Linked DNA regions of Arabidopsis thaliana. The protein of the gene in region 3 binds, or shares a complex with, the protein of the main gene of each other region. Each region holds a gene or a part of one and is shown on either strand. Other genes may lie near its edges. The genes, in order: AT4G02580, CI51 and EMB1467. A codon is read from its position in the direction of its gene.

Region 1 (4,172 bases), on a different chromosome or scaffold from region 3:
ACCAGGTACTGTATGTTTCTCAGAAAATACTGATATATATTTTCTATCTGTAAACGGACTCTGATGCCACGTTCTCTGTCTCTATAGGCTGCTGTGCTTCTACTCTTTAACACAACTGACAAGTTAAGTTACACTGAGATCTTGGCTCAACTGAACCTAAGCCATGAAGATCTAGTTAGGTTGCTTCATTCCTTGTCATGTGCTAAGTACAAGATACTCCTTAAGGAGCCAAACACCAAGACTGTCTCCCAGAATGATGCCTTTGAGTTCAACTCCAAATTCACCGATAGAATGCGCAGAATCAAGGTTTGTGACGTTAATAGTAATACTCAAAAGTCTGCAAGTTTATGTCATGTTTTACATATTGTTAATAACTAACATCAACTTGGGTGATTTGCGTCACAGATCCCTCTTCCCCCAGTTGATGAAAGGAAGAAAGTCGTTGAAGATGTCGATAAAGACAGAAGATATGCAATTGATGCTGCCATTGTCAGGATCATGAAGAGCAGGAAAGTATTGGGACATCAACAACTTGTTTCTGAGTGTGTTGAGCAACTTAGCCGAATGTTCAAGGTAAATTATACATATAATTATATTTATACAGAGACATTTGAAGATGCACGTGGTGATGAAACTCATTGGATTTGTGATGTTTGTTGCAGCCTGATATCAAAGCGATCAAGAAGCGTATGGAGGATTTAATAACCAGAGATTATTTGGAGAGGGACAAGGAGAATCCTAACATGTTTAGGTACTTGGCTTAGGGCAAAAAAACAACAACTATGGAAGTGGTTGGCTCATGAAAGGAATCTGCTTGTATATTTAGAAGTCCATATGGAGACTGTCCTAAAACAAATTTATCGCTTCATTTTCGCTATTTTTCTCTTTTAAAAAATATTCGGTCTGTGCTTTTTTTTTGGGATGCAAATTTGCCTTGTGGATTTTTGTTTCTTAAATATTGAATGGAGATGGAGAAATGGCCTTAATGAATGAATCTCTGCTTTCTAATATATTTATCCTTGATCATATTATTTAAGTTTTATGTATCTCTGTGTTATATTGACGGATGGGAAAGTCGTAACAAATAATATGAGATTTCTTATAATCGAACGCTAATGAGACAAAGATGAACCGACGGAAGGTGCCTTCCTCAATCGCCGAACATTAAAAATCATTGTAATCATCTACGTCATTAGCTATAGTCCACCAGAACCGTAATAGTTTCTGCTTAGGACCAATGTCTTATATTTTAAGCCGTTTTTCTGTTGTATGATGATCTGAAATATTATTGGGATACAAAGACGGGTATGTTAAGGTTAATAACAATTTTGAACGGGTTAATGGTGGAGCTGGTGGATTATATTACTTGATTCCAATGTGCTTTTTTCTTTCTTTTTTGGGTTAATATGAATTATGAACGGATCATCAAAGACGATATTTGGAGCCTACACAGAGAATGATATATACGACATGGAGAAATTCTGTTCATATATGTTTTGAGGTGCGGAGTCATTTTACTCCATCGAGCAAATGTTTCTCACTTTTTATTTGCTTGAGATTCTGTTAAACAAACAAAGAATCATGCCATTGCACTATGATGAAAAAGCTGCGAGGAGATGTGCAAATTATAAGAATCAGCAAATTCCAACGGGCTTCAAGTATTACATGTATGGGCCTTTAATTAATAAAATGGGCCTTTAAAGCTACTCGTATGTATCAGTCCTAAACCAAAAGTAATAGACCAATAATGAATTAAAGTCAGGCTTATTTTAGCAGGCCCATAGAGGCTATAGTCAATCCTGCGCCAGGTGATAGTGAGATACCGAGTCTAGCTCCTTGGTTTCTCTGCTTCTCCTTCTCTCTCAGATCAAAAAAAACCTTCGTGTGCGTCTCTCGTCCTCTAAATTGTCGAAAATGCTGGCTAGGCTCGCTGCGAAGCGTCTTCTCGAGATCCGTCAAGTTTTCCGTCAACCAACCTCTCAGGTATTCTCTAATTCCTTGCTTCCTCTCAGCTTCTCTCCGGTCGTTTCCCGATCTCATTCTCCGTTTTGGTCATTTCTATCTACAGGTGACTCGTAGCTTATCGACGGCCTTAAACTACGTGAGTGTTGGATATTCTATCTGATCTATGCTTCAATTTTGTCTAATTTTATCCGAAATTAATTGTAATTTGATTTTTGTTGTTGTTGTTGTTTTGATTACTTATAGCATCTGGATTCTCCTGATAACAAACCCGATCTTCCATGGGAGTTTTCAGAGGCTAACCAATCTAAGGTCAGTGAATAAAATCGCTTCTTAATGTGATAATGACGAAAATTTACAGTTTTAGTGAACGCATTGGGGATTTTTATCCAGTACGGATTCGAATTCGTTTTTGTGATGTTTACAGAATATCTAGGGAATTGTGTGACATGTTCGTAATGGTGGAATTAATTTATACTCTTTCGTGAAAATGTTGGAATCTTTAGCCCTCGTTCCCTAATCTTTAGCCCTTTGTTTGACCCTAGTTATAACTAGTCCCTGTCTCCTGATTATGAATTATGGTTCTCTTAGTTAGCATTCTACCAAAGGATATTAAAAGACAAAGACTGGGATTTTCTGATATTTTTGATTGCTTATTTGTTGTTACATATTTAGAATCGGCTATTCTGGAACTGATTTAAGGGAGAGACTTAGAGTGAACGACCCAAATGGCCAACAGATTTGAATCTGCTAGTGTGGCAGAAAGACTGTCCAGAAATTAGTAAACCGGTTTCATTGTAGTTTAAATCCTAATACTTTCTTGTGCATTTAGTTCCAGTTTACTGTATCTTTCATTTCTGGCTACAGTAATCTTGCATTAACGGTGAAATCGATTTCCGCATGCATCCAGACTTACTGAATTGTTATGTCCAAAATGTGTAGGTTAAGGAGATTCTCTCTTACTATCCATCCAATTACAAGCAGTCCGCAGTTATTCCTCTCCTAGATCTTGCACAACAGCAGAATGGAGGCTGGCTCCCTGTTTCAGCAATGAATGCGGTATGTCTTCTAAGATTTTTTTGTTCGATTTTCTCTGTTAAGACTTAATTTTATGTACTTCTTAAGTTCTTTTTTGGAATACAACATTCATTGATATGATTTTACCGTCATAACAATGCAACAAACTTTTGCAGGTTGCTAAAGTTATAGAAGTTGCCCCTATCCGTGTTTATGAGGTTGCAACATTTTACTCAATGTTCAACAGAGCAAAGGTAAGAAGTACTTTCTACCCCTAAACTCAAGTCTCTACTGTACTCAATGAAAGACGCATTGCAGGCTCATTTTTCTTTTGCTCTTACAGGTTGGAAAGTATCACCTTCTAGTTTGTGGCACAACACCTTGCATGATCCGTGGTTCACGAGACATCGAATCAGCTTTGCTAGACCATTTGGGAGTGAAACGCGGTGGTAAAGCTCTATGTGCTTCCTTTCATAACCAAAATCATATGGAGGTGATGATCAGTCATAACGATCTTTGGTCTTAATGTTTTTTGTGCAGAGGTCACAAAGGATGGTTTGTTCTCTGTTGGAGAGATGGAGTGCATGGTATGGATTTTGCGTCACCTCAATTCATTAATCCATGCAGAACAATAACCAAGATTAGTACTTTCACATGAAAAGATTCAATGCAGATCTAATGTGTTTGGTTTTGTTACAGGGATGTTGTGTTAATGCACCCATGATCACTGTGGCTGACTATTCCAATGGATCAGAAGGATATACATATAACTATTTCGTATGTCAAATCTCGTTGAACAATTTTTCTTTTTCTCCTGCATTATCCTATTGTTTATGTGGGTTACGTCGGAAGAGTGAAATCATACTTACACTGTCTTATGCTACAATACACAGGAAGATGTTACACCTGAGAAAGTCGTAGAAATTGTTGAAAAGCTGAGAAAAGGAGAAAAGCCACCGGTAAGACATTAACAACCCATTGCATTTGGATACTTTCCTGATGTTCTTCTCTTACTATTGCATTACATCGGTGGGGGAAAACAATCTGGTTTCGGTTAACTTTCCAAATTGGAGAACGTAGCCTCTAAGCCAAAATCCAAATCCAAAATCCAAATCCAACTTCTTATAATGTTAATCTTTGTTTTTCAGCATGGAACTCAGAACCCGAAGAGGATCAAGTGTGGACCAGAAGGA
Region 2 (9,996 bases), about 12 Mb from region 3:
TCCCATGCCAAGTTATAATTCCAATAACATCTGAGACTTTTAAAACAATCACGAAACTAAAACCACTTCAAGAAATCTCTACTTTTCTTTCAAGCATCCTCTAGAGTAACCTCGGGTCAGTGCCCCCTAAAAAAAACTCAATTCATCCTTTTTTAATTTAAAGTATCAGATAGGAGACCAAGGACCTAAAAGTTCCAGTGAAGGTATTGCTTCTAACTACAGTATGACTTTGAAAACTCTTGATGTCTTAAAGGTTCACAGAATTAGACACCCAAGAGTACCAAAATTGTCACTTAAGAGAAATAATATTAATGTTCTAGAACACAATGAAGACATGGAGCACAGAACAAACATAATTTGGAAAGAATCATAAAAGAATAAGAAGAATCAGAAACTGATTAGCAGCAAAAATAAACAAAGTTCACCTGTGCTCATCTTCTGTCCACGCGATACCCTTTCGTCGTTCTTGATCGGACTTTGATTTACCTGCTTGGTTAGACTCTCCCGCATGACTGTTACCTCCTTTCTTACTACTTGCTCCTTCATCACCAGCATGGCCATTCGATCCTTCAGGAGACCCATAGGCAGGAAGAGGCACACATCCTGATTCAATCCTAGTAACATCTTCAACTAAAAGCTCGTAATGTTCTTTAATCTGTTCAACACTTTTGCCTGGAACGTCTGCAGCAATCTTCTCCCACCGTTCCTCTGATTCATCGGTATTATTGGCTAGAGCTCTCTCAAAGGCAATATCATCCTCCCTACTCCACACAGAACCATCACTAACTTCCTCCACCGTCATAATTCCAATCAAACCCGCCTCAAATTCTATAGAATCTACCCTAATCCCTCTAAAAGTCTGGGATATCAACCAGATTTCTACAAATTTCGTGTCTTTTAGATCTCCACAAACTTAACAGAATCCCAAAGAACTCAGATCTTCCAAGTATCAGTGAACCTAGCTAAAAACTACCCCTTGATATTCCAATCAAAACCCAACCATACAACTAAACTAGGGATATAAAGAGAATCTTGGGGACTCGAATAGAGATTCTCACCTCCAACAAAATGAAATTCCCTAAAAATAAGCGGAAAAAACCCTACTCTCTCTACTGATGAACTAAGACGCAAAGATTAATTCAACTTATCGTTATGAGATAGAAAGGAAAGCAAGAAGAAATTTATCTGATAGGCAAAGCAAAACGGAGATTGAAACGAGGGAATCAGAGAATTGGCAGAAGAAGAAGAAGGAAAAATGTGAACTTTATGAGAAATGGAAAATTGGGGGTTTATTGGGTTTTCAAGGGATTGCAGCAACTTGAAGGAGAGAGAGAGAAAGAGGAATAGGAAAAACCCAGAAGACTGAGAGAGAGAGAGAGAGAGATAGGGAGGGGTCAAAACGCCATTGTTAAAGGAAGGGGAAGTTCAAAACAAAGAAACAGTGAATAAAAACCATAAGCAACAGTTTTCACAGCTCAAGTCCGCTGTTGTTATTTTTGGTATTGTTGACTCTTTTATTATTTGTTACACTTCCAATTCATATTGGAATTTCCTTGTTGACCAAATTATGCCATATGTATTTTATTACTGCTACTCCTCATCGTTGGTAATTTCATATCAGTTTTTTCTTTTTTCACTTTCATAATGCTTTCGCATGTGACTAGATTTTTCTTTTGGTGACATTTGGGGAGGCAATCATTGATGAATAATAATTATTTGTACGGTGATTATAAAAGGCAATGAAATACTATATCAAACTATTTGTAAACATTGTTCAAACTTAAGCTCATATCGAAAATCGAAAACAACAAAGATGCTAATTGCCTATATGACGACTTTCCGAGTTATGCAAATATGTGATTATGTAATTTCATCATACAACAACTTGTTGATTCAGTAGTTCTATCGATTAAGTAAAGAAATTGGAAAAGGGGGGAAAAAGGTGGGAGAGGTGGACAAAGAAGTTAGGGAAGATGTTGACGTCTTATCCATAAATATCCTCCAAAAATAATATCCAATCAGACCGGTCCCCATCACCCTCACAGGTCTTCCTTGCCTTCATTTATCTCTTTTCCTTTTTCTCTCTTTCTCCATTTCAATGCGAATATATATATCACTTCCATTTCATTTTATTCTTTAAGTTATTCCATTTAGAAATTTCTAGTTTATAGTTTTAAGATGATTTCTACTTTGTTTGATTTTACGAAATCAAGTTGGGACTAATCACATTTTGGTTATACATTATCCAAAAAAACTAATTTTGGACTATCATATCAAGTTGTATACAGAACAATGATATACCAATTTATATCCTAGAGATATTTTTCAGAAAATGCCAAAAAGAAACATTGATTTATAATTTATTTGCTATGTGAACTACTTATAAACCCAAAAAGGAGCATTCTTTATTTCAAACATGAAAAGGGTTTCTTTGGTTGTTCCCAAAATGTGCTTTCATACTCGAATAAACATAACAAGCAAACAATAAAGAAAGTAGAGTAATGCAAAAGAGCAAATCGCGCTCTTTCTGATACAACTTTAAGAGAGTTTTAACATTAACCATTCAAACAAATTACATTACCTTCTTCTCCTTCTGAAGTAGCTTTGCATCCCAAAACCGTTACTAGTTGTTCATTCAGATTTTATTTCCATGGAGAATAATAGCAAACTCCCTGCAAAAACATCAATTTTGTAAGACAGGGATAGAGCAGAAAGATAGTTACGGAAACTAACTGTTCATTACGGCTCAAGTTCTTGAAATGCCCAAAGAAATTAGATACAGAGCAGTCTACCTTGTCACAAATACATTCTAAAAGGCTGCGTAAACTCTAGACCTCAGCTTTTAAGTTTGCAACAGAAGATTAAAAGAGCAAGGACTGGAGATGCAAACCTCTGGTTAACAAGGTACTTAAGCAGCAGCCTGTAGCAACTCCCTTTCAGCGCGTTCCCTGATCCTTCTCTCGAGCTCTGGCCTAAAGTGTCTTATCAGACCTTGCACAGGCCATGCAGCTGCATCACCCAATGCACAGATTGTGTGTCCTTCGATCTGTTTGGTTACCTCCTGCAGCATATCAATCTCTTCCAGCTTTGCATTGCCAACTTTCATTCTCTCCATGATCATCCAAAGCCAACCTGTTCCCTCTCTGCAAGGAGTGCACTGCCCACAGCTTTCATGCTTGTAGAAGTAAGAGAGCCTTGCAATTGCATCCACAACATCGGTTGATTTATCCATCACAATGACTGCTGCAGTTCCTAACCCTGATTGGACAGCCTTGAGCGCATCGAAATCCATCAGCACATCCTCGCAAATGTTCTTAGGGATCAGAGGAACAGATGAACCACCAGGGATGATAGCAAGTAGATTGTCCCATCCACCCCTAACACCTCCACAATGCCTCTCAATCAGTTCCTTGAGAGGTATACTCATCTCCTCTTCCACCGTGCATGGCTTGTTTACATGGCCTGATATACAAAAGAGCTTTGTCCCAGCGTTATTCTTCCTACCGAAACTAGAAAACCACTCAGGTCCACGCCTTAAAATGGTAGGCGAAACAGCCACTGTTTCCACATTGGTAACAGTTGTGGGACAACCATATAAACCAGCATTAGCAGGGAACGGAGGCTTCAACCTAGGTTTTCCTTGCTTCCCTTCAAGGCTTTCAAGAAGCGCAGTCTCTTCACCACAAATGTACGCACCAGCACCAAAGTGGATATAAACTTCAAAATCATAACCAGAACCACATGCATTCTTCCCCAAGAGACCAGCTGCATACGCTTCTCTTCTAGCCTTCTCTAGATTCAAACGCTCATTCACATATTCACCCCTGATGTAAATATACGCAGCACTAGCTCTCATTCCAACACCAGCAATCAAACACCCTTCCAACAATTTGTGAGGGTCATGACGCATGATCTCCCTATCTTTACAAGTTCCAGGCTCACTCTCATCAGCATTGACAACCAAATAGGAGGGACGGCCATCAGAAACTTTAGGCATAAAGGACCACTTAAGACCAGAAGGGAAACCAGCACCACCACGTCCACGAAGTCCAGATTTCTTCATTTCATTGACAATCCAATCAGTACCCTTGAGCACCAAATCTTTGGTCCTATGCCAATCACCTCTCTTCATCGCGCCTTTGAGAAATGGGTCATGCAGACCATAGAGATTAGTAAAAATCCGATCTTCATCCTTGAGACCACCGAAATGAGTCTTTTCCGGAGGCGGAGGAGGTGGAGGAGGCTGTGGAGTGGTGGAAGTGGATGCAGCTTGAGTGCTGAATGATCTCAAAGCTGGAGTCAGTCTGTTACTTTCCTTCCAAATGGACACTGCCCTTTGCAAGCCAAGAATCCCCCTCACGGGTGCCTATCATCAAATCCATATAACAAAGACGGTAAATGGCAAATTAACTCAAAGTAACACATGATCTACTTTAAAAGCATACAAAAAATTGAAGCACGAAATCAGTAAAATTGATGATACAGGAGTTAAGTGTCGCGTATAAAATCGCTGTTTCAACATTAGGAAACCAAACAAAACCAACAAAAGCAGGTGAATAAACCCAATCGCTCTAAATCGATAAGCTCGACCAGATCAATCATAACCCGCTAGATCTATGTATAAGAAGATGCCGCATTTTGAAATTGTTCAGCTGAATTCAAGATAAATACACTCAAAGTCTTAATTTTGAAAACCCTAACAAATGCGATCGAGAAGAAAATCGTATAACCTAGAAATGAAAACGGAGATCATCAAAGTGAGTGCGCGAAAAGAGATTGCTTACCATGGAGACGAAAATTTCCGAGAAGTAGTCTTTCAGAGAGATACTGGTCTTTGTTCCTGAAGCGTGAAGGCCACAAGAATGGGAGCTTGAACAGACACGGAGACGAAGTTATAATCACTGCCCACCTGAGACCGACGAACTCGAGATAAGCTGTTTGGTTTAGATTACTCCGCGTCTTCTTGACGTTAAGCTTCTCTCTATTTTATGGGCCTCTCTTGGTCCAGGCCCAAATATTCTGGTCCGGTATGAAACTATCCTAAACTTCGATAAACGTAAAATATGTGGGTCGAATATGAAATAATTATAAAGTATTGGGAACAATTAGCATTTAGAAACATAAGAGGCGTCTTTTTATAATTTTCTCAGTTCCCGTAAGACGATCCAACTGCTACAGGCCGGCGATTAGCAAAGGCGGTGGTTCGATAGAGAGAGGAAGAGATTGAAGCGATTTTCACTCAGTTTTCATCAGATCGTCTCGGTGATTCTAGGGTTCATTGGTCTCGTTTTGTTCGGTGACTGCTTGAGTTTCACGTTTTTGGTGAGTTCCGTCTATCTATTATTATCTTAATATTTTGATGATTCAGGCTCATGGTTTGTGAAATTTGCTCTAATTTATTCCAGGAAATAATCAACATAAGCGAATTCTTGTGTTTGGCTTTAATTGAACCCTGAATTTAGATGATAACAATATTTCTGATGGTTGGTTCATTGTATTTAGGTTTCGATTTCTTATGGGAGATTCCTCGGTTTCGACAAGTTCATGGGCTGTCATTGAATCTGCTAATAGGTTTCAGGTATAACTCATTTCTGGATGCATCTCTTCTATTTTGTGCTGCATTTAACCTATTAACATTTTGTTTACTGTTCAGTGGTAGGAAACTTTTGGGTCTGTTTCTAGTTGTGAATTGAATAGACTACAAGAAGTAAGCAGAACTGAATGTGCATTCCTTTTGTTTTTATTGACAATTGTGAGTTAACATGTTCAGGTGTCGAGCGTTATGGGTGAGTCCTCTGGATCAAGCAGTTCATTGGCTGCTATAAATTCGTCCAACATTGGGTTTCAGCTCCTAAAGAAGCATGGCTGGAAGGAAGGCACTGGTCTTGGAATCGCTGAACAGGGTATATTGGTGCCTCTACAAGCAGAGCCAAAACATAACAAACGAGGAGTGGGAGCTAAACAACCAGCTAAGAGAAAAGTGGCTCAGCCTCAGGCTAAGGTCTTGTTTCTTAAAACCCTTACATGCGATAGCCTTTAAATCTGAAAATAGCTAATGATGAAGAAGTGTTCAGGCATTGATAAAGAGTCTCATCTGATTTTATTTTTTGAAAGTCTGCATCAGCGACACTTCATATCTCAATAGTGCTGGACTTGATTTTTGGCTTATCACGTTGCCATTAGCTTTTATGTTTCATTTGTTTTCAAGTTAGGCATCGAAACTTATCTTTTCTTTACTAAAATTTTCAGGATGAAGAAGTCTCAAAGCAGAGTAAGAAACTTTCGAAGAAAATGCGGAAGATGATGGAGCACGAAAAACATTTACAGGAAAAAGAATTTGAACGAGCCTTCTTTAGGGAGTTCTGGCCCGATAATGTATAACTAGGTTTTATTCTTTTACTTCTTATTGACCTGAATGTTCCAAAAGCTTCTGTATTTACTGCAAATTTAGAATAACTCTGTTCTATTGCCTTATCAATGAAGAAAAATAGTTATAGAATCATGCGCTCAACCTTATACCTTTAGAAAATGGGAAAAGAAAATGAAGTTAATGCAGACACTTCAAGTAAAGGTTTTTGTTAGCAAGTTTCTAAAGTGTATGTTCATGTGCCTTGCATTGGTACCCATGCATTTAGCATGACCAAATCACTTTATATTGTGAACTAAATTTGGGATAATAATCCGATTTAACATGGGAGTAACAAAAAATTCTAGCTTGTGTGGGTAATTAATCCATTTGTTATTATGTCTGCTGTCTGCTGAATTCACTTTTTCTTCTTGTTAAAAACCATTTGATGATCGTTTATAGTTAAAATAAATGGGCCGAGTAAAAAAGGCCCATTAATGACCCCTTCAAATAAATAGAAATTGTTATATCTTCTTCCTTCACCTTCCGTCGTAGTTCCCCGACAAGCTAACTACTGTTGAGCCCCGCCGCATCCGAAGCCGACTTTTCAAATCGTCGAGCTTCAACAATGACGTCTCTTCTCCTTCCTTCATCTCAATTTCTCCAGACTCGAACCCAAAACAATGGCCAACCATTCCTTCTCCCTCTAACACCACTGTTCGCACCACTACCTTCTCTCCGTCAGTTGAGACCGAAACACATCTCTATTTCCGCCGCAGCGCCGAAGAAAAAATCGGAGACTGTCACGGCGCCGACACCGGCAGCGAAGAAGAATTCGAGCGTGGAGGAGGAAACAGAAGAGGAAGTAGAGGAAGATATGCCGTGGATTCAAGAGAAGGCGTTAGACCTAGTCGAGTTCACTGGATCGGTGAGTCAGGCGATTCCTGGTCCTCGAGTTGGAAGTAGCAAATTGCCGTGGATGCTCGCCGTTCCGTTAGCTTACGCCGGCGTCACTTTCGTCACTGCTTTCGTCAAAACCGTTCAGAAGTTCTCTTCTCCTAAAGCTCAGCGCAAGAAACTGGTCTCTGATTCCACTCTCTCTTTTGTGATCCTTACTTAAAAAAAAAAAAACTAATTCAATTTTGGTTTTTTGAATCTCTTCAGGTGAATCAGAATGCTATGCTTTGCAGATCTATAGATGAGCTATTAAGGAAAGCTGGAACAGTGCATAGCTCTGAGCTTAAGGCACTTGAACAAAAGGTGAGAATATATATAACATGTCACTAATCTTTTGGTTTGATCTCTTAATCATTTCCAGTTCAGAATTTGACATGAGGATGCTGAATTTTGTTTTTCTACAATCCAGACAGAGTTTAACATGGAGGAGATATTGCGGAAATACATTCGTTATGCGTTGAATGAGAAACCGTTTAATCCCGACCTTGTTGCTGATCTCATTCATCTAAGAAAAGCTTCTGGTTTGAATGATTCTCAGATTCCTGAGATTTTAAATGAGATCTCTCGTCGTATTGTCAAGGAAAAAGGTAACCAAAACTTTGTTAAGGTTCTCTATTGTGGCAGTCTCTTCTTTATTGCTCTTGACATATTTGATTTTGGCAGGTCCGGTAGTGATGAAAATGCAAGGCTTTACCGAAAAAGGATTCAAGAGAAAACTCGCCGTGCAAGCGCTTTTTGGAAAGATTTACTATCTTTCTGAGGTAATCAATGTGGAAACATTACTTGTACTTGAGAGAATCTGCTTACTCTTTCAACATTTTCGTTGATCTAATCCTGAAGTCAAATATGCATACAATGTTTTCGATGTGTGATAGATTTTCTAACTCCATTCTCTCTTCAACAGCTTCCTGACTTCTGCTCAAAAGACAACTCCTTAATCGTCAAGGAAATATTCGGCGTTACAGAGTATGTTAACTTTATTCTTATGCTTTTACAATGTTCCTTTTACTTGACCATCTCTACAAAACATTTCAGTGAAGACGCAGAGAAGCTGCGGATACACGCTCTTGCTGAAGCTGGAGACATAGAGGCACTTGAGAAAATGGTGGAATTTGAGAAAACTGCGGAGTCTTCTTCGGATAAAGAAGAAGATTCAAATGAAGAAGATGACTCTAACACCACTTCCTAAGATGTTTGTTCAACGACCAACTTTCAACAGTAGATTCTTTCCAAAGGGGGTTTTCTTCTTCTGTTCTTTGACTTATACCCCAAGTTGTGTTGTTTACAGCAGAAGACGTCTGATTCCAACAGAAATTGTCTTTTGCAAAAAACCATGACACAGCTCGTAATACAAATTAACTGCATCTATAGTGCAGCACAGCAATACAAGTTGGGGCTTATATTCATAGAAATAATATTGTCTTTGCTAAATCTAAACTCATACAGATATAAAGGGAAAAATAAAAGACTCGAGATACTTTAGCTTATATTTATTATAAGGTTTTCTACAACCACAAGAGGTTACACTTACATTAAGCCAAAGTACTAAAACTCTTCTGTGTCTGAAAATGGATTCCGGAAGGTTTTGGTGCTAGCCTAATAATCCTAGGGAAAATCTTGTAATCCTCGATGTTGAAATCGATGAGCCTTTGCTGGTACAGCCCGAAAGGTGAGCCTGATAACCTGAGGCTAAAGATTTCTGTGTTGACTTTCCAGTTTCCCATCAATAAACTTTTGGTCAAACTGCCTCCTTAAGATTGAATGTTCTGACAATTTCCCTGGCGTGGTCATGTTCATGGAGCTCGACTAGTATTCTCTTTAATCTGCGGGCGAGACCAGTGGTTTCCGCATCGTCCAGTCCTGAGCCAAGCCTTTTCTCGAGAATTCTTCTAAGTGTCAGAGTACAATCCACAAGAGGTTGCAGCGGACGACTGCAAAGTCAAATAAAATATTTTAGTATGTATCAAGGCAAAGGTTCAACATAACGTCCAAATATGAGATGCAGATATCATGTGAACCAAATGAAGATAAACAATGAAATTGATTGGTCTAAGACGAATGAGATTCCCAAAAAAAAAACATAAAGACCATAGCCTGACCAATACTCCTAATCTTGAAAGAATTGCCCAGATTTTGCAAGATAAAATTATGTAATTTAAACATCTTAGTCCCGATTCGACAGCTTTACTTTACTTGCTTTCGTGCACTTGGAAAATAAGCTTTTAACTTTTCATGCAGATGGACTGTAAATTGTAAAGGTAAACAATATGCAACATCACAAGATGCAACTACAATGCTTCGTTACAATGAACCATGAGAAACCTTCATGTGTGAGAAAGTAAAATTTCAGATTTGATTGTTAAATCATTTACCTGTGGGTTCGTGTGACGCTTGGTCCTGTCCACACTCCAGACAAAGAAGCAACGATTCTTTCAGTTCTTGTCACAGCATCATGGATATTTGATGCAATGCTTCTGACATGGGGTAGAACTTTTCCAAACAAAAGGTCACTAAGAGCCAAGTTCTCCAACACTGGAAGCGCCAGGATGTCTTTCCACATACATATATTTCTCATAAGACGGACTGATGTCCCAAACCTATATGCGGCAACTTGTGGAGTATTAGGTACAGCCTTCAATACCAGAGGATCCCATGTCGGAACCTGGAGAATAAAGAACAAATCAGAGGATATC
Region 3 (9,996 bases):
AGATACAAGCAGCAGTGTGAGTACAATAAACTTCAACGAACAAGAGCTTTAAGATTCTAGTGAATAGATAGTTGATTCTTGTGTCTTTCTCAAGCCTTTGGAAAAACTCAACCACTTTGCGAACCCGAAATAGCCTTATCCACAACAAGTACCTCACCAACTCATGTTTCCCTGATGCCTACAAAAAGGTTAGGGTAGGAGTATAAACCAAACCAAACCGAATCAGAACCAAAAATGTATTTAAATAACCCAATTGGTTTATTATTTAAACATCGAAATCGAAGTGAAACTGATTTTAGTGTAAACTAACCAAATGAATTGATATTTATGTGAATTTTATTTTAATTATATAAGAAATTATAATATGTGTTATCATATTAGATAAATATAATATTAGTTAAGAAATATTTTTATATGTTTCAAAGTTACTTTTACAAAATTTCCAACCTAACTAAGCTAAAATTGCATCAAGTAGGAACTAAAGTTGCATCACCTAGAAACGAACCAAACAAATTACAAATAGTGTTTATTTGGTTTGAGTTTTTATAAACCAAGAAATATTTATAAGCTATAGTGTTTCTTTGGTTTGACTTTTGTTGAAGATCTAAGCAAATATCAAAAGCAAAGTTAAGTACCTTATAAATAAGATCCCAAGGGAAGCAACCGATGAAATCCATGAGAAAATGCGACTTCAAGTACCTGATGAAAGACATACTTCCTCCATTAAAGGCTATATAAGTAGAAATGGTTAAAATGATTGTAAGAGTCTAATATATATAACTGACCGGAAAGCAATACGTGTTGGTTTGTAGACAGTCCGGTAGGTCTGAGTATCGCGATAGGCAACAAAGAACTGAAGAACAATATCGACCAAGAACGCGATCTGACCAACAATGTCAAGTACAAAGAGTCTCTCAGGCAGACCGCGGAAGAAACCAAACTCCATGGGAGTGAACAATGAGGAGTATATTGCCCACACCAATATAAACATTTCCCATGCCTTGTACCACCTGATCAATTTCTTCTCACTTTTCATTAATTCAGGTCTAATCAAAGATTCTTGAAAATGTAAAGATTGTGGCTTATACTTGATTCGTCAAATTGGTAATGTAGCTAAACGGAATCGTGGGAAGGAGACAAATGAAAATAATACTATAGTTATTAGTTAAGTGCAAGCAACAACGTTTTAAATTTTATTTGTTTAAGATCGACATAGCTGGACTAAGTTGAATATACATTTTCACTAGTATAGTTTTGTTATTTTATAGTTAATGTTATTATGCTTAGAAGAACAGGTGGATGAAATATCCACGTGTGGCCTCTGGTTACGGCAGCTTTAGTGGAACCAATTAATAATCCGATCTTCGATGATTCTGTCACAACGCATAATTACTAATATAACCCTAGTGAAACATTTATGGGAGTGTAACAGTATCCTCTAGTGGATTCAAGTTGTTTAACGTAGTATTTTTTTTTTTATTCCTGGTGCAATTTAACGTAGGATTCTATTTAAAGATAGATTTAAAGTTTTTCCTTGTTTTGGTCGGAATTTGGTTTTAGATTTAAGTTTTAAATTTTCAATAGGTCGGCTGCAAATAAAACAAATGCTTAGATTGAGGTGATCAGTGGACAACGAAAGAGAAGAAATATATCACAAGGAAGTGTCCCACCAATTTCTTTTTTCTTAGTAAATAATAATGAAAAGAATATCGACAACAAAATCACCTGATTAGCATCTAATATCTACTTTTGATAAGTGATGAAGATTATTCATCTAAATCCTAAGGCTATTAATGGATGATACGAATTAAGCGATTAGACCATTTTATTTTTAGAGCGAACAATAAATTCTGTAGACCAAATTCACTTTTACGTAAAAAAGATATATCGTTAGTCCATTGTAGACGGATTCTATTTTTATTATTTTGTATTACTATAAATTATACTTTATGAACGGTAAATAAAAAGCAATCCAAACTGTAAACGGATTTGTCCATTCTAATTATCGTAATTTTTCGAACCTTAAATCATTTAGTTGTTTTAAAAAATCCTTGACATAAATATTAATATTTAAACTAGATTGAAGTGATACTAATATTAGATTAGATTGGTGACACAGCCTTAAAAATGAGCAGAAAGAAATAACGATAAGAGTTTTAGTGATTGATAATTATTAAAATGGTGAATTTTCTATTATTGTATTATTCGAAGTTAAAACTAGGGAGACAAGTTTTTGAAGTGGTATGGTGAATAAAGTTTTTTTCTGAAGTTACAGAAAAAAAAACAGAAGATATTTTGAAGGTTTCAAGAAAAGTATTTTCTACGTATTTATCTCCCGATAGAAAGGAAACTCTTCAAGTGCATGATGAAGAAAGAGAAAAAAGAAAGAACCTGTTTTTGGGATGAATGATGTATTTATAATCATTATGACCATCGGTTTCAATTCTCCGATGCTCTGATGAATCAAGCCACCGAAACGTCTCGGCTAAACTGAGTTTTCCTCTTCTTGATGAAACGTCGTCGTTTGATTCCTCTTCTTCATGATCTATTATCTCTTGCCGTCTCCGGAGACGTCCCATGTTTTCAAGAATCGGTTAAATGAAATCTCCGGCGATCTCTTCGACACAAAGATCTAGAAAAACAGAGTTTAATACCCGATTCAACTCTTGAATCTGACACTCGAAACTTCGTCTTTTTGGTAGAAGATAGATCTTGTAATGTTTTACAAGTTGAAGAGAAAAGGCGGGAAGATCACGAGAGCTGCTTCTCTGTTTTTTTCCAAATTATTTTTTGTTTGGTCTTCTTTAGTTCTTCTTTCTCGTGATGTTAAAGCTATATTGATTTTGTTTCTGTCGAGAAACTACTGTTTTTTTTTTGTTTGGTTTGGACTCTTTATTAGTTGAAGTGTATAACGTAAGGTTTTGTCTAGAAGGACCGAATTTATATAGGACATCAGAACATGTCGATTGTCGAACATATATCATTGTTTTTTTAATATAAAAAATCTCATCTAAATTAAAATTTGGAATTGAATTGTACGAACGGCTAATAAAAATTTACCAAAAGATTACGATGCTCCAAATCTGGATGATGATTCCCTAAACCGGTTTTTGTGAATCATTTCTAGCATAATCGAATTTAAGTTAATCTGGACTAGTGTACTTGAACATTCACGGGGTAAGTGGGGGAGTTATTTTTTTTTAAGACAATAAATCTGTTGTAAATTGATGTACTAGTTATAGACATTAATGGGTGTGTAACAGCATTTCCTATATGTTTAACGTAGGATTTCTGTTTAAAGTAAAATCAAAATTTACATCAGGTTTTGAGATTTTTAGTTTTAAATTTTCCAAATGGTCGGCTTTGTATAAAACCAAGAGAAGAAATTAAATATACACGAATATGAGGACGTGTCCAGAAAAAGAAGAATATCGACAATAAAAATCACCTAATTTGCATCTAAATATTGACTTTCATAGTACGCTAGAGATAATCAGTTCATCTTCACCTTATTCTTTGCATTGTGTAAAAGAGAGATTATGCAGAGTTTCCTAGTTGACGAGAATGAGATAGCAGAGATATTTCTTGTTTTCGTTTTGCACTTTAGAGGTACTACCTTATCGAGTTGTATGAATATGATTGTCTTGCTTCTATTTTTTTTTTTCATTTTTGGCTTTGATTGAATAAAGGTGAGAATTTTTATTTATTTTTCGCAAAGTATTTCCTTAAAATATTAGTATTTCGGTTTAGATTAGAACAAATACGAGACGATAAATAGTTTGATAACAAAAAGCTATATATGTTGTGTTTCATATCTTATCAACTCGGTCACATCCTCTTTCCATTGGATGCAATTCTTTTTCATAGAAGAACCACTAATTCTTTTTTTTCTTTTGCCATTAACCCAACAATTTTTATTGTAGTTAGTGGTTCTCCCTTATGTTTCTTTGCCTTGGAATGTAATCACTCTGTTTTGACAAAAAAAAAAAAAGAAGGAATGTAATCACCCTGTTTGACAAAAAAAAAGAAAGGAATGTAATCACTCTGTTTGACAAAAAAAAACAAGAGAGGAATGTAATCACTCTTAAAGTGATCTATAACAATTTGAAAAAGTGTCATATTTATTAGCTATAACTTATAACTTTATAAGTTTTGAATGGATGCAGTGGACAAAGCGGTATACTTTGTATGCGGTTTAATCTACCTTATTTTGAGGCGGACAATAAACCGCTGTGGACCAAGTTTATTTATATGTAAAAATAGTTCGTGGATGATTCACAGATGATCTGTTGCGGTTTTCTTCTTTTTTTTTTGTCCGGACCACTGTGCACTATAATTGATTAATGGTAAATAAAAAACAGTCTGATCCGTTGATGGTTTTGTCCGCCCGAACCGCCGTAACCATTCAAACCCATAATTAAAATTATAACGAATTACTATGTAAATTTATAACTAAAACTATCAAATTAAACGAGTTAAATTATACTTATCATGTCTGCCTGTAATGATAAGATAATATATATCAAAGCTTATGAAACTTCATTTTTTTTTTTTTTTGGTTGTCATTGCAAAGGTTAGATTAATAACAATATCACTGATAATGATGCTTACACGTAAACCTAAACAAACGAGGAAAATAAACTAACTCTTACACGTAAACCTTAACCGATGCAGCATAGGTGTTGACAATATTTTCTTTCCTTTTATTTAAATAGACGACGTTGAGATGTTTAAAATTGTCATCATTTATAACCATATTTTAAGTTGTCTTTATCTGAAATATACAAATGTTCAATTAGTACATTGACCTAAAAGTCTCTAGGACTAATGATTGATTAGAGGTTTATTTTGCTAGAGGTTCTAATATGTTGTATGGAACTAGAAGCAAGATTGTTTTAAACTCAATGTCATTAAGTGAATTAGAGAAAGATCATCAAAACTCTTAAACTATATCTCCCAAAATTAACTTAATTCAGTTTGAAAAGAAAAAGCCCACAAAGCCCAAAACTCACTCATTCATAAGCCAATTATAATATCCAAAATAAAAGCCCATAAAGCCCAAAACTCACTCATTCGTGTCTCCTTCTCTCTCGCACAAATGCTTCAGGAGTTCTCACAACAAGATCGAGAAATACACACATAGAAGACGAAGAAGAAGAAGAAGACGATACAGATCCACAACGCCATGGGTTTAGGCATCTTAGCTTCTCGAACAATTCGACCAGCTTCACGTCTTCTTCAATCTCAAACCTCCAATTTCTTCCTCCGCACAATCGTCTCAAAACCAGAGCTCCAATCTCCTGAATCCGCTGCTGTCTCTGAGCCTGAGCCGCCGACACAGATTCTCCCTCCTAGAAACCCTGTAGGTGGAGCACGCGTCCACTTCTCGAATCCTGAAGATGCGATCGAGGTCTTTGTCGATGGTTACGCGGTCAAAGTCCCTAAAGGATTCACTGTTCTTCAGGCTTGTGAGGTCGCTGGAGTTGATATCCCGAGGTTTTGTTATCATTCTCGTTTATCTATTGCTGGAAATTGCAGGATGTGTCTTGTTGAGGTTGAGAAATCTCCTAAGCCTGTAGCTTCATGTGCCATGCCTGCGCTTCCTGGTTAGTTCGATTCCAGGAAAATTTCTATGCTGATGGATTGATTTTGATCGTTGATTGGTGGAATATATTTGGATTTGGTGCTATTGCTAAGAGTTTTTGTAACAGGGATGAAGATTAAGACTGATACACCGATAGCTAAGAAGGCGAGGGAGGGAGTGATGGAGTTTTTGTTGATGAATCACCCTTTGGATTGTCCTATTTGTGACCAAGGAGGAGAGTGTGATCTTCAGGATCAGTCTATGGCTTTTGGATCTGATAGAGGACGTTTTACTGAGATGAAAAGATCTGTTGTTGATAAGAATCTTGGTCCTCTTGTGAAGACTGTTATGACTCGGTGTATCCAGTGTACAAGGTTACTAATATAGTTTGCTTATAGTGTGATGTTTTAGTTAATGTGATAGATACGCTATCCTGTTGATTAGGTTTTGTATGTATAATGTTTTTGTAGGTGTGTACGATTTGCTTCTGAAGTTGCTGGGGTTCAGGATCTTGGTATACTAGGTCGTGGTAGTGGAGAGGAAATTGGAACTTATGTTGAAAAGCTTATGACCAGTGAACTCTCTGGAAATGTTATTGATATCTGTCCTGTTGGAGCCTTGACCTCAAAGCCTTTTGCCTTTAAAGCCAGAAACTGGGAGTTGAAAGCAACAGAAACTATTGATGTTAGTGATGCTGTTGGGTCCAACATCCGTGTTGATAGTAGAGGACCAGAAGTAATGCGTATCATTCCACGCCTGAATGAGGTATGTAATGCTTTTGTTCAAAAACACTATTTTTAAAAGTATTTTGCTGGATGTTGAACTTGTGAATGTTCTTATTCAGGATATAAACGAAGAATGGATATCTGACAAAACCCGATTCTGTTATGACGGCCTGAAAAGACAAAGGCTGAGCGACCCTATGATCCGAGATTCCGATGGACGATTCAAGGCAGTGAGCTGGCGTGATGCCTTGGCTGTTGTGGGTGATATCATTCATCAGGTGAAGCCAGATGAGATTGTTGGAGTAGCAGGTCAGCTATCTGATGCGGAATCCATGATGGTACTGAAGGACTTCGTTAACAGAATGGGCTCAGACAATGTATGGTGTGAAGGAACAGCTGCTGGTGTTGATGCTGATCTTAGATACAGTTATCTGATGAACACTAGCATCAGTGGACTTGAAAACGCCGATCTCTTCCTTCTCATCGGTACCCAGGTGAGATTTCCACCCTGTCTTTTTTGTATGGTTTCTGGTACCGGATTAGACAGACCGCTCTGTATTTGGAACAATGACATAAGAAAAACCAAATTGTGTAGTTTGATACTTTGATTTAGTGGTGTGGCTTAAGGTTCTGTGCATAATTTGGAATACAGAGGCAAATAGAAAGGAGAAACAAGCAAAATTAAGTTTCTAAAAAACAGATCAGATGTTAACATTTCGCTTGTATTGAATATTCCTGATCCAGACCAATCTAGATCAAGCAAAACTTGCTCTTCCAGATATCAAAGTTGTGAAGGTTTTTTAGCAGTACATTCACCAGTTTTTGTCTATTTTTACCAGCCTAGGGTGGAAGCTGCAATGGTGAATGCTAGGATCTGCAAGACAGTCCGTGCATCAAATGCCAAGGTTGGATATGTTGGTCCACCTGCAGAGTTCAATTACGACTGCAAACACCTCGGGACTGGGCCTGATACTCTCAAGGAAATTGCTGAGGGACGGCATCCATTCTGTACGGCTCTCAAGAACGCCAAAAACCCTGCAATCATTGTTGGTGCTGGGCTCTTCAACAGAACTGATAAAAATGCTATCCTCTCTTCTGTGGAGTCCATTGCACAAGCCAACAATGTTGTCCGACCAGACTGGAACGGTCTCAACTTTCTCCTTCAGTATGCTGCCCAAGCGGCTGCTCTTGATCTTGGTCTCATTCAACAGTCCGCCAAAGCCCTCGAGTCTGCAAAATTCGTCTACTTGATGGGAGCAGACGATGTAAATGTTGACAAGATTCCTAAAGACGCCTTTGTGGTTTACCAAGGACACCATGGAGACAAAGCGGTTTACCGTGCAAACGTAATTCTCCCTGCATCGGCCTTCACTGAGAAAGAAGGAACCTATGAAAATACTGAAGGATTTACCCAACAGACTGTTCCAGCTGTTCCAACAGTTGGTGATGCAAGAGATGACTGGAAGATTGTGAGAGCCTTATCCGAGGTCTCGGGTGTGAAGCTTCCATACAACTCAATCGAAGGTGTTAGATCAAGAATAAAGAGCGTTGCACCAAATCTAGTCCACACAGATGAGCGAGAGCCAGCTGCTTTTGGGCCTTCATTGAAGCCTGAGTGCAAGGAGGCAATGAGCACAACACCGTTCCAAACCGTGGTTGAGAACTTTTACATGACAAACTCGATCACAAGAGCATCAAAGATCATGGCGCAGTGCAGTGCCGTGCTCTTGAAAAAGTGAGAGCTTTAACTTGGGTTTTCACATTTTCTCTCTTTTCGCAAAAATAAAGATACTGATTCTTCGTTTGCTGTCCTCTTTATAGACCTTTTGTTTAAGCCTGAGTATCACTGTATCTCGGGTTTAGCTTGCGGTGAAATCTATAAGCAATTTGCAATAAGCACATTGTTAGATTCAAAACTTTGCAGTGTTAATTGGATGCTTTGTGGCATCTTGTATTGTTCTTATTAGGACTCCCTTTTACATTTGCATATATGAATTTGGAGGCATGGCGATATATACAATCTCTACTTTTATCGTTTGTTCTTAACCATTGTGATTGTTACAAATAATGCAAATCTTGAAAGGATTAGATGGTTTCCAATGTGAGATGATCACTTGTGAACTAAACTGTTTTTGACAAGTTATGTTACCTAAAATCATTTCAGTTTCAACTTTGTGATTGGTCATAAAGAAAATTTCAGATAGATTATGAAAGACAATCACAAGTAACATATAAATTTATTTTAGAAAAACTTACCTAAACCAATCAATTTTTTTTTATAGCTGGGATAATTAATCCATCCAACTTTTTTTATCTTTCTCAAACAACCAACTTTTTATTATCAAATTGCTTTCTTACTGATTAGGTCTTATATCTAAAAGTATAATATAAGCAAAAAAATTATTTAATTTAATTAATTTTAAATAACCTGTTTTTTTTTTTTTTTGAACTTCAACACATTGTTTATTGGTTAAAATCCATGCTAAATGGATAAGATTTTTTTGATACATGTCCAAATCTTGTTGACCAATAACACATGTAAAAAACATTTTGTTAGTTTTTTTTGGGTAAGAATAATTAGTATATGTAAATATTCTTTTAATTAGTTTTTATTTTCTGTAAAAGAAAACAAAAAAATAAAACAGTTGTTGATATCTAATCGAGAAAGTTACCCGTGTCGCAATCATGTGAGTTACTAATTTTGAAAACCAAAGTTTATATAATAAAATAATTATACCAAGTTAAGTTCATAAGTTAGTAATCTAGATTTACACATTTTTATACAGATACACAATACATGTAATAACAATAATCATGTACCATAACACTTAATAAAAAAATGAGTTAATTATATAGTTCAAATTTTATGAAAAAGAAATCATGTGTATCTAGAAAATATTAATGTTATTTATATTTCTCTTTATCTCATTTATTTTGATATTATTATATAAATCTCTCTTTACTCTTTGATTGCCACTCCAACCTTATTTCTTAGAGAATATGAAATTAAGTTTTCCAGGAAAGTTGTTCTTCTTGTTAGGTTATATCCTATGTTTCAGCGATATATCGAGTTTCAATAATCATTTTGTGGATGCAGAAACATTGCAAAATTTCACCTCATTTGAAATGGAAGAACAACTTAAAGTCATCGACGAACATGCAGCTAAAATCATCAAAGTCCGTTTAATTTCATCTTATTTTCTTAGAGCTGCACTCGTTACCTTGATTTATACATATATATATATATATATATATATCTGAATTTTGTAGAGATATGTGAAGTTTACAAAATATTTTATAATCTACTTTTTGTTTATGGATGATAGACTACACATGGAGATACATATGAATGTGTGGATTTTTACAAACAACCAGCGTTTGACGATCAGACCATGAAAAATCACTTGCTCAACTACAAAGTATATAATAAATTGAATATAAGTGAATCTGATCATTATTTATCACTAATACAAAATTCTTTGTAAATGTAGATGCATCAGATATCATCCCGTAAAAATTCAAGAACAAGAAAAATAAATGACAAAAAATTTGGTTTCTTGTGGGAAAATGGTGTAGGGTGTCCCATTGGTACCATACCCATACAAAGAGTCACCAAAGACAAACTTTTGAGATTAAATTCGTATTCCAACAAATCTAAGCCCCAAGGTTCTTGGAACTTCACTTATA

What was found.
Region 1: the proteins of EMB1467 (region 3) and AT4G02580 are in contact, whole or in part, in a cryo-EM structure (PDB 8BED), measured with the Arabidopsis thaliana proteins. Residues at the interface, in NP_568550.1 of Arabidopsis thaliana: Val203 (codon at 5,897), Lys205 (codon at 5,903), Val225 (codon at 6,059), Ser229 (codon at 6,071), Gln235 (codon at 6,089), Asp236 (codon at 6,092), Leu237 (codon at 6,095), Gly238 (codon at 6,098), Ile239 (codon at 6,101), Leu240 (codon at 6,104), Gly241 (codon at 6,107), Arg242 (codon at 6,110), Gly245 (codon at 6,119), Glu246 (codon at 6,122), Glu247 (codon at 6,125), Gly249 (codon at 6,131), Thr250 (codon at 6,134), Tyr251 (codon at 6,137), Val252 (codon at 6,140), Glu253 (codon at 6,143); in NP_567244.1 of Arabidopsis thaliana: Asn33 (codon at 2,096), Tyr34 (codon at 2,099), His35 (codon at 2,209), Leu36 (codon at 2,212), Val90 (codon at 3,004), Met93 (codon at 3,013), Ala103 (codon at 3,177), Ile105 (codon at 3,183), Arg106 (codon at 3,186), Tyr108 (codon at 3,192), Glu109 (codon at 3,195), Thr112 (codon at 3,204), Phe113 (codon at 3,207), Tyr114 (codon at 3,210), Ser115 (codon at 3,213), Arg119 (codon at 3,225).
Region 2: the proteins of EMB1467 (region 3) and CI51 are in contact, whole or in part, in a cryo-EM structure (PDB 7AQR), measured with the Arabidopsis thaliana proteins. Residues at the interface, in NP_568550.1 of Arabidopsis thaliana: Gly115 (codon at 5,528), Asn116 (codon at 5,531), Cys117 (codon at 5,534), Arg118 (codon at 5,537), Leu121 (codon at 5,546), Lys129 (codon at 5,570), Pro130 (codon at 5,573), Ala135 (codon at 5,588), Met136 (codon at 5,591), Pro137 (codon at 5,594), Lys153 (codon at 5,747), Ala154 (codon at 5,750), Glu156 (codon at 5,756), Gly157 (codon at 5,759), Val158 (codon at 5,762), Glu160 (codon at 5,768), Phe161 (codon at 5,771), Leu162 (codon at 5,774), Met164 (codon at 5,780), Asn165 (codon at 5,783), Arg194 (codon at 5,870), Phe195 (codon at 5,873), Glu197 (codon at 5,879), Met198 (codon at 5,882), Arg200 (codon at 5,888), Ile219 (codon at 5,945), Gln220 (codon at 5,948), Ile239 (codon at 6,101), Gly241 (codon at 6,107), Arg242 (codon at 6,110); in NP_196470.1 of Arabidopsis thaliana: Gly225 (codon at 3,697), Ala226 (codon at 3,694), Gln243 (codon at 3,643), Lys245 (codon at 3,637), Leu248 (codon at 3,628), Pro250 (codon at 3,622), His399 (codon at 3,175), Glu400 (codon at 3,172), Ser401 (codon at 3,169), Cys402 (codon at 3,166), Gly403 (codon at 3,163), Gln404 (codon at 3,160), Cys405 (codon at 3,157), Thr406 (codon at 3,154), Pro407 (codon at 3,151), Arg409 (codon at 3,145), Glu410 (codon at 3,142), Gly411 (codon at 3,139), Trp414 (codon at 3,130), Met417 (codon at 3,121), Ile418 (codon at 3,118), Arg421 (codon at 3,109), Met434 (codon at 3,070), Glu437 (codon at 3,061), Val438 (codon at 3,058), Lys440 (codon at 3,052), Gln441 (codon at 3,049), Ile442 (codon at 3,046), Gly444 (codon at 3,040), His445 (codon at 3,037).

Annotation. Positions count from the first base shown.
Region 1 is NC_003075.7:1,132,672-1,136,843, forward strand, and holds the start of AT4G02580 (NADH-ubiquinone oxidoreductase 24 kDa subunit), read left to right. Parts: upstream 1-1,757; 5' UTR 1,758-1,914; coding exon 1,915-1,983; intron 1,984-2,068; coding exon 2,069-2,101; intron 2,102-2,208; coding exon 2,209-2,274; intron 2,275-2,904; coding exon 2,905-3,021; intron 3,022-3,155; coding exon 3,156-3,233; intron 3,234-3,322; coding exon 3,323-3,428; intron 3,429-3,519; coding exon 3,520-3,566; intron 3,567-3,678; coding exon 3,679-3,756; intron 3,757-3,872; coding exon 3,873-3,938; intron 3,939-4,127; coding exon 4,128-4,172. Other genes in the region: CUL1 (cullin 1), read left to right, coding at 1-5, 88-306, 406-573, 663-764. UniProt on the Arabidopsis thaliana protein: Core subunit of the mitochondrial membrane respiratory chain NADH dehydrogenase (Complex I) that is believed to belong to the minimal assembly required for catalysis. Complex I functions in the transfer of electrons from NADH to the respiratory chain.
Region 2 is NC_003076.8:2,756,940-2,766,935, forward strand, and holds CI51 (51 kDa subunit of complex I), read right to left. Parts: upstream 5,081-9,996; 5' UTR 4,788-5,080; coding exon 4,785-4,787; intron 4,367-4,784; coding exon 2,909-4,366; 3' UTR 2,891-2,908; intron 2,673-2,890; 3' UTR 2,378-2,672; downstream 1-2,377. Other genes in the region: AT5G08520 (Duplicated homeodomain-like superfamily protein), read right to left, coding at 426-802; AT5G08535 (D111/G-patch domain-containing protein), read left to right, coding at 5,516-5,578, 5,771-6,001, 6,250-6,381; AT5G08540 (ribosomal RNA small subunit methyltransferase J), read left to right, coding at 6,975-7,427, 7,511-7,606, 7,713-7,890, 7,967-8,064, 8,208-8,269, 8,339-8,492; ILP1 (GC-rich sequence DNA-binding factor-like protein), read right to left, coding at 9,042-9,234, 9,676-9,965. UniProt on the Arabidopsis thaliana protein: Core subunit of the mitochondrial membrane respiratory chain NADH dehydrogenase (Complex I) that is believed to belong to the minimal assembly required for catalysis. Complex I functions in the transfer of electrons from NADH to the respiratory chain.
Region 3 is NC_003076.8:14,892,305-14,902,300, forward strand, and holds EMB1467 (NADH-ubiquinone dehydrogenase), read left to right. Parts: upstream 1-5,105; 5' UTR 5,106-5,185; coding exon 5,186-5,606; intron 5,607-5,711; coding exon 5,712-5,958; intron 5,959-6,054; coding exon 6,055-6,349; intron 6,350-6,428; coding exon 6,429-6,803; intron 6,804-7,148; coding exon 7,149-8,044; coding exon of another isoform or gene 8,045-8,048; exon of another isoform or gene 8,049-8,130; coding exon 8,131-8,143; 3' UTR 8,144-8,343; downstream 8,344-9,996. Other genes in the region: GORK (gated outwardly-rectifying K+ channel), read right to left, coding at 1-178, 636-699, 786-1,010, 2,392-2,579.